Coturnix japonica: one gene and its partner. The protein of the gene in region 1 purifies or fractionates together with the protein of each later gene. This does not show direct contact. Links are inferred from orthologs where the notes say so. Each region holds a gene or a part of one and is shown in the gene's direction. Other genes may lie near its edges.

The links.
Region 2: the proteins of RPP25L (region 1) and IBTK purify together in Homo sapiens (co-immunoprecipitation; 3 studies listed by BioGRID and IntAct, with this or other methods). This does not show direct contact. The link is inferred for Coturnix japonica from reciprocal best matches to the Homo sapiens genes RPP25L and IBTK.

Annotation. Positions count from the first base shown.
Region 1 is NC_029547.1:7,294,308-7,298,584, reverse strand, and holds RPP25L (ribonuclease P protein subunit p25-like protein), read left to right. Parts: upstream 1-1,343; 5' UTR 1,344-1,778; intron 1,779-2,037; exon of another isoform or gene 2,038-2,296; intron 2,297-2,499; 5' UTR 2,500-2,508; coding exon 2,509-3,054; 3' UTR 3,055-3,803; downstream 3,804-4,277. Other genes in the region: DCTN3 (dynactin subunit 3), read left to right, coding at 111-170, 795-884. UniProt on the Homo sapiens protein: May be a component of ribonuclease P or MRP.
Region 2 is NC_029518.1:71,357,175-71,360,987, forward strand, and holds part of IBTK (inhibitor of Bruton tyrosine kinase), read left to right. Parts: intron 1-1,462; coding exon 1,463-1,643; intron 1,644-2,794; coding exon 2,795-2,918; intron 2,919-3,813. UniProt on the Homo sapiens protein: Acts as an inhibitor of BTK tyrosine kinase activity, thereby playing a role in B-cell development. Down-regulates BTK kinase activity, leading to interference with BTK-mediated calcium mobilization and NF-kappa-B-driven transcription.

The DNA of each region.
Region 1 (4,277 bases):
GCCTGAGTTTTAATCTTGGTACTGGCCTTGGACAATTCCTGACTTGCCTGGAATTACAGATGTCCTTTAAGTTATTTATTGCTTATTCACCAAGGCACTGTTTTTTGCAGGAGCAGTGTGAGCAGTTTACTGATGAAGTCAAGATGCTCTTGGAAAACTACAACAAGACAGTATCCTTTTAGCTGGTGCCTTGGATTGAACTGCCCACCTGTCTCTTGGGCCACCTCACCCTGTCAGAGGTAGCTGGAAGCAGGCAATCCCCAGCCTTAGGTTTAATGGCCGGTACCTTTTCTGGTGTAGTGATGTTTGTGTTCCTGTTATTATACTTACCTCAGGAGTGAAGTCCTGTTACAGTGCCGAGGGACAGAACTATCCATCCGAGACAGGAAGGGCAGGGTGTCGTCTGTGAGTCAGAGCTTTTGTGATGGATCTGCTTACAGTGTGGCTTAGCACAAAGGAGCTGGCATGTCAGTTGAATGTGCCTGTGACCTGCCAGAGCCTTGCAGTTCATCTCATACCAGTGCTGAAACACATCCTGAACTATAGTGGGTGGGGGAGTTATGTTCTTTTCTGAAGCAAGACCTTTAATTTGCAGCACTATGCAGTGCTTAGAAGTGGTGTGTAGTTGGTATAAGTCTGTGTAGGCTGTGTAGACACAGTTTTATTCACCCTTTTCTCCTCCAAGGAATTGGTTTTGGATCAGCACTGTCAGGCTGATGGGTGCTCCAGCTATTCTCTAACCTTTATTTCCTCCTAGAAGTTTTTGCTTCTCTTTCCTTAAGAGGAACAACCAGACTCTGCTTCTCTCCAAGCAGTTTGTCCAGTGGAATGAAATACTAACACAGCTGGAAGCAGCCAGGGAAGTGAAACCTGCAGCAGAGTGATGGCAGAGCAGGGAGGGCGAAGACCAAAGTCCTAGGATCCTGTTGGCCTTGCATTATTCAGAAGAGACCACAGCAGCTGCTTGCATCCTCTTGCCTCAGTATCTTTATACTTAGTGTGAGTATGCTGCAAATGGTGTCACAGACTCCTGGGGGCACCCTGGCTTTGTGGCCCTTAATCAAAGCAGCACCATCAATATGCCACTGTTTGCATATAGTTTTCTCTTAATATGCCACTGTTATTAATATGTTATCTTTTATTTTAATGTTTTCAAGCTAGTAACGTACTTTTAAAGTCCCTTGTTGCTCTTATCGTGGATCACAGTAAAGCCCTAATGCACTGGTCTGGCTTGTCTTTTCCTCCCGTGAATGCATCAGTGGCACAGAATGCCTGGTTAAGCTCAGGAGGGCAGATCCGCGTGCTGCCAACAGCCCATGGCTGATGTGTCATAAGGAAACGTTACTCCTGGCATGAAGTAGAAGCAGTGATCTGTGTGTCCCTTCTTGGGGCGGTTCCTGGTGCCCTGTGGGAATGGGAACTTGGAGACTGGGGGAAGCAAGTGACCCTGCCCTACGTCGTGCCTTTGCTGATCAGAATGGCAGCAGCGAGTCAGAGCCGCAGCCGGTCCTTTCTTATTCAGAAAGAGTTATTTGCTGCCCCCTGCCTGTAGTGCCTGGGCTGTGCAATTTATCCAGGTACAGAACAGAATTACTGAGTTGTGAACATGTCTTTAGTGAAGCCCAGAGCCCAGCTGTGCGCTGGGAGATGCGGGCCCACCCCGCCCTCACAGCCCGCCCAGGCCCGGCGCCATCACTCCGCCACTCCGCCTCCCTCCCCGCGCATGCGCACGCCTGGCGTCGGCCGCCATTTTGCGTCGAGTGTCGCCGTGCCGGCAGGTGAGCGTGCTTTCCGTGTGTCCCCCATCCCGCCCCGCAGCCCGTCCGCCTCCCGCACCCGCAGAGCCGCCCGGACAGCGGTTCCCGTCACCCCGGACCCGGATGGTGGGGCTGGGCCGCCTCCCCTTGGCGGAGCTCTCCGCCCGAGGCCTTCACCGTGCCTGTGGGGGGAGCCGTGTGACTCTGTGGGCCTGGGGGTGGGGGTTGAGCGTGAGCCCGTTTACCTGAGTTCTTTCATTTATTCTTTGCTTTTTCTAAGGATTCCGCCAGCTGAACCAGCGCTGCTCCTTCCAGTTTCGACCCCTGTGGCAGCATTCATGTTGCCCGCCGGTGTCTGAGCTGCCGCTGCTGGAAATGACTGCTGTGCTTTGCACTGCTGCACATCGGGGTGTTCTGGTGGATAGTTTGTATCTGCCCTGTCCGGCTGACAGAATCAGACAGTGCCCTTTGGAGCAAAGACTGCACGTAATTGGAGCGAGAAGCCCTTTGTGCAGCCTTTAGAAGTTTCTCAGGTACAGGTGTGTGGAGCTGCTGAGACTTTTCTGGTGGCCAGAGGCTGAAATGATGCCAATGGCAGCCTCAGTTTTGAGCCCTGCTGTGCTGGCACAGGTTGCTGGAAGCCACAGTTGCAGCTGCGCTTCTCGCTGAGTGGGAAAGCCCACAGTGGCTGGTTTGTATTATCACTAATTGCAGGTATTCATGGGTTGCTTTTCCTTTTCAGTGCAGCAGAATGGAAAACTATAAGAAGACCAAAATCGTGGAGAAGCCTTGTCCTCTTCCTTTCACTGACCTGCCTCCTGATATCATTGAAATGAAAGTGAAAGATGGAAGTAAAATAAGAAATCTGATGGGCTACGCCATTGGCAAGATGGAACTGGACTCAGTGAGGCAGATCCTTTTCACTGGCTCAGGCAAGGCTGTCAGCAAAACCATCACGTGTGTGGAGATCATGAAAAGAAGGCTCAAAGAACTCCACCAGATCACCAAAGTGCTTTTCAAACAGATCGAGGAGATCTGGGAACCCATCGTGCCTGAGGCAGGTCTGGATTCCTTGACAGTGAAGAGAAACATTCCTGCCATATGTGTCCTGCTGAGCAAAGACGCCCTTGATCCCCAGGAGCCTGGATATCAGGCTCCGGGCTCTTTTGACGCCTTCTGGATTGAGACACTTAAAGCAGAGTCCCAGGCCCAAATGAAGAGGAAGCAGGGTGGAGGAAGGGGAACTGGCAGCATGGGAAAGCACCCTCGTGCCAGTGGAGGGCTCGGGGAGTCCTGAGTGAAGTCCTGAGACAGAGACACTTGTGGGTGTAGCTTGGGGATGTTACAAAAACCAGCCAGCTGCTCTGGCTGGAAAGCTGCTGCTGAACACAGGCTTCCAGATCTGTTAGGGGGGTAGACAGGAGAACTCACTGTTCCAAAATTGACAAAATTGTAGCTGTCTAAATTGTGTTTTGGCAAGTTTCCTTGTCAGATGGTGCCAGGCTTCACTCCATAGCCTGTGGCTCAGGGATGAGATGGAAATATGGGATTTACCTTTTTGGGCAAGGATTGCTGGCATCCAGTTAGTGAGCCCAAAGAGGCATTCCAGGTATGGCAGTGCTTTGCATGGGCAGGAGATGAGGCAGCTCCTAGAGGGGAGATGTGTCCCAGGTTGGGCTGCCAGCCCATCATTGCAGCTCCTCTGTGTGGATGGCACAGCTCAGGGCTGGGTTGGACACTTTACCTGTGCCTGAGAAGCCATTTTCTGCTCAAGCCTTCCAGTGTTCTGATGGTTTAGATGTGGGACTGCAGGGGTGCAGCTCACTGTGTGCCAATCATCCCTTTCTGTCCTCTCACTTCCCCTCTGGTGCTGATGGTTACACCTCTGGCAGGAGTCAACTAACGTCATCACCATCCTGAAACCACGTAGGCAGGGGCAAATGCACAGGGGTGGTAATGGTGAGCTCCAAAGGATGCTTGTTTCCCCTTTCTACTCCTTTGTAATGCATAGGAATGGGTTTAAAATAAAGTTTGTAAGTGACAAAAGATGTGTGATGTGTTCCACGTTGCACTGGGGTCACCCTCAGCATTACTGACGGGCTGCAGCTGCAGGCGTTTTTCTCCTGTAGGTGGGCCCTGATGAAGGTTTTCCTTTGCCATTCACCTCTTCTAGCAATGGGAAAGCCAAGGGTTTATTTTTTCTGTCTGGAAGAGCAGATTTGAGAATACTTGGTGTGAATGCCACTGGATGGAGCAGGGGATGGAGCATCACGTCGTGTGCCACAGCTCTGCTCCTGGATCAGCTGTGGGAGGTGATGCTGGGCAGGAAGGAGCCGCAGGGCCATGGCCATACACAGCGCTGCTGTGCCAGCGTGGACTCTATGGGCTATGGAGCATCTCCCCAAGCGAAGCCCACCAGGAGCAGCCAGCAGAGCCCGCAGCTGTGTGTGCTGCTGGCAGCCACGAGGGGTCCCCAGCTGCCCGGCGGATTTGCATCGTACCCGCTGCCGTGCCGAGCTG
Region 2 (3,813 bases), on another chromosome or scaffold:
AGCCATTAGAAGTTGTTACACATACTAAAGCTACTGTCTGCTTCCTACAACAGAAGCCTGGTTAAAGCTTTCTCTTCTTTTTTTTTGCCAATCTGATGATTTCATCCCTCCCCACTTTTTTTTAAAAAGAATATTTTTCATAATGTTTACACTTTGAGATGATGGGAGCTGATCTGACTTAGCTTCTATGTTTCTTGTGTGGTTCTGTTATAGAAGATGTTAAGGATAGAGAATGTTACTGTTAGTGTTACAAATTACGCAAGATCTTGCTGATAGTGTCTTCAATAAATCATGAACTATCTCATTTGTCCAGCATAAACAAATTACTCATAATTTTTTATATACTAACTTTTTGAAGTGAAATCTTTTCCTGAATGTAGATATATGTATATATTTTTAATTACCATAACCTTTACTTAATTCGGTATTATTCTGACATGAGAACCTGATTAAAACATGTTACCAACATGTAAACTTCCTAATTTGTTGTATTGATGGGATACTTTAGTTGCGTTTGTCTTTTTTAATAAACATATATTGCAATAGTGTAATTGGACAGTTCTTTATGCAGACAAAACTTAGCTAGCTCTGGTACTTACAGTTAGTCTGCATCAGTTCTGAAATCTGGTTTATACACCTTTGAGTTCCTATTTAAGAGTAAAAAGTTATCTGATAAAAATACCTTTGTCAGAGAAGCATCTTACTAATGAATATTTATTTTATATGTGTGTATGCATTTATCTTATACATTACTTTGTGGTTACTTGTGCTACTGATATTCTTCTGCTATGCATAAGACCCACCCAATGCAGTACGATATGAATACAGTAGCTTGGATCATAAGTGGTGTAGTTGTGTCAGCTGAGAACTGTGAAAATAAACCTTGTGCCTCTACAGGAAATTTGGGTGTGGTGCTGTGCATTTAGGACAGGATTGCAGGCCTTTGTGTTGCAGATATAAGTGCACAGGGTTATGCTGTGTACATTTTTACAGTTTTCAGTTTTACAGTTTTCTGAGCCCCTACATTTACAACTCCAACTTTTGTTTCAACTTAGTCCCCTACCTTAGTGCTTATATGCACTTACAGTGATTTCTATGACAACCTTGTTTAATACCTTCCAGTGATATAATACTTCTAGTGTTATGAACTATAATGCAATTGGATTGAAGTTCTTTCTTTGAGATGAAAGGCAATGCTACTGCATAGTCTAATGCTATTAAATAGCTGGCCCTGTAGAATGTGCTTTACTTTATGTCAGATCTTGAATATTTTCAGGAATTCATGGTAAACTAGCAAGTATGTGTGGTGCATCTGTCTTAATGCTTTGAAGATGAATTATCTAACTACCTAGAAAATCTTAAAGAATTTAAAGGTTCTTCAAAGTAGGTTAGCAATATGTTCTTTGATCGAGTTGTGTGGAATGTTAAATAATACTTTTTTGGGGTGGGTTGTATTTTCTAGGTTATCTGCTGGATCCTAATGGAGAAAAGTGTGTAACTGCACCTCGACAAGTTTCTGCTCTACACCATAAAGATGTTTCTGTGTCGCTGGTGTCTGCAAGTGATGGTGCTACAGTGTGTGTTACTGAAAGAGGGGATATTTATTTACTTGCAGACTATCAGTGCAAAAAGATTGCTTCGAAGTATGTGTTACTTTTCTAATTTGTTATGAAGTTTGAGGTGAAGGTTTCACTATAGGCTTCTACTTGCAGTAGAATTATTATACACAGTTTTGTGTATAAAGTAAGACTAGTACAGCACTACTCTGAGTTTTCTTCATTCTCAGTTGTCATATGAACTGCAGCAACTTTTTTGAGTTTGTTTTGTTGTTAGATGGGGCCGAATGCCATTCATTGTTTACTAAGGATATTTTAAACAAAACAGTAGGAAAAAATATTTCATGCTGCAGGCTTAATTTTGAAACTGGTAATTTTTTGTTCATTTTCTGATTTCAGTTTGTTTAAATGTATCTGGGTAGAGATGTTGAGGATGTCCTGCTTTGTTCTGTTTTTGAGTCAGTCAATGTGGCTCTGAATTTCATAAAGAACATGTGGAAATAGCATGCTGCATAGAGTAATTTAGGTTGGAATAAGGACCTCGTGGTACCACCTGGTCCATGTGCTAAAACCTGTATGTAAAACCTGTTGAAGAAACTGGGCCTATGACTCATAAATTATAATTAAGTTAATTAATCTCATTCTCTCTGATAGTTTTCATGAACAGATCAGAAGAGGTAATACGTTTTTTCAACAGCTTCCAGTTATCTTTTCAGCTACCTTTGAAATACTACCAGTATTCATTAGCTTAGGGATTACTATTTATACTTCTGTTCTCTATCGTTAAATAACCATTCTTACACTAAGAAACTGGAAACTGTTATCTTCCATGGCTTTAAGCAGTTAGATTGGAGGGAGGTTGAGAAACTCCTGGAATAAAAGGGCAAAAGGTCTTTTACTATAAACTGCTAAACAAAATTAAAACTGAAATGTATGTGGTTCTGAAGATTAAAGCAATTTTTTAATCATGAAAAGAAAACATGAATATGCTGTGACTTTTTAAAATACAAAATAGGTCTGTGCAGTCTACTAATAAAATATGATTAGCAGTTATGTTAGTTATGCCAGCAGATAGCTACATTTAGGTAGCTCGTCAGTGTTACTATTTTAGCTGTGCTTTTTTTTTTTTTTTTTTTTTTTTTTTATTACTTATCTAAATGGTAGATATAATTTGGTCTTAGAAGCAAGATTTGTTTGTGATGGAAAAAATACTACTATAACCTTTTGTGTTCTTCCAGACAGCTGAACCTTAAAAAAGTTCTAGTTAATGGGGGCTATTTGGAATACAAGGTAGACACCCAGCATCTTAAAGAAAATGGGGGTCAGAAGATCTGCATTTTAGCACTGGATGAAGCTGGAAGAGTAAGTTATGTTTCTAAAGTACCAATTTTACAGCAAACTGCTTACTGAATAATAAGTATGAAACCGTTTACGCTCCCTTGGTGAACCTCTGGTTAAAGAAATCAAAATAGGACTTACCTTGGAAAGGAAGATAAAATGCATGCTACAATACTAAATAACTATACTTTACTGTTTTACTATAAACTTAAGTTGACAGTAAAAAAATCAGTCCTAGAGGATGCACAATTCCTTTGCGTAGTGCTGTTAGTGATGTGTTCTTCTATAATATATTAAAAAGCTATGGGAAAACTACTGGAGTGATCTACAGTACTTCATTTTTAAATCTGTGAACATCTAATAGCCTTTTAATGGAGATTGAAACTGTTTTTCTTTTGCATACAAAAGAAGTTAGGGCGTACGTGGTTCTTGTCTTCTATCTTCTCTTACCTCACCTCCCTCGTCACCTTTGCGCCCTCCAGAAACAGTCTCAGAAAAGTTGCAGCTAAGCTCTGTGAATAACTAAGGATTTGTAGCTGTATGTAAACAGTGTCGTCTTAGATCTGTGATGTTATGGTGGATTTATTTTGTCTTATTCTCTTCCTCCTCTCACAGAGGAGCAGTTGGCACAGGCTCCTTCAGAATACTCTGCCAGCCTTTCCTAGCCTAGGTCTGTTCACTGGGAGACCTTAGCCTTCAGTGCCACCTAGTGGTGCTTACAAAAACATTTTGTTATCGAAATGCTGCCTTAAAGAACGTTAAAAACTGTGTATCAAAATAGTGATCAGTGTAGGTATTTCCCTTTCTTTCCTTGCATTTGATTGAGCAGATCATATTTGTTAGGTCATTAGCTGCCTCGGAGGTCATAAACTTGTGCTTCAGTCCTGTTATGAGGTTTATTCTCTAGTATCTGTGGTAT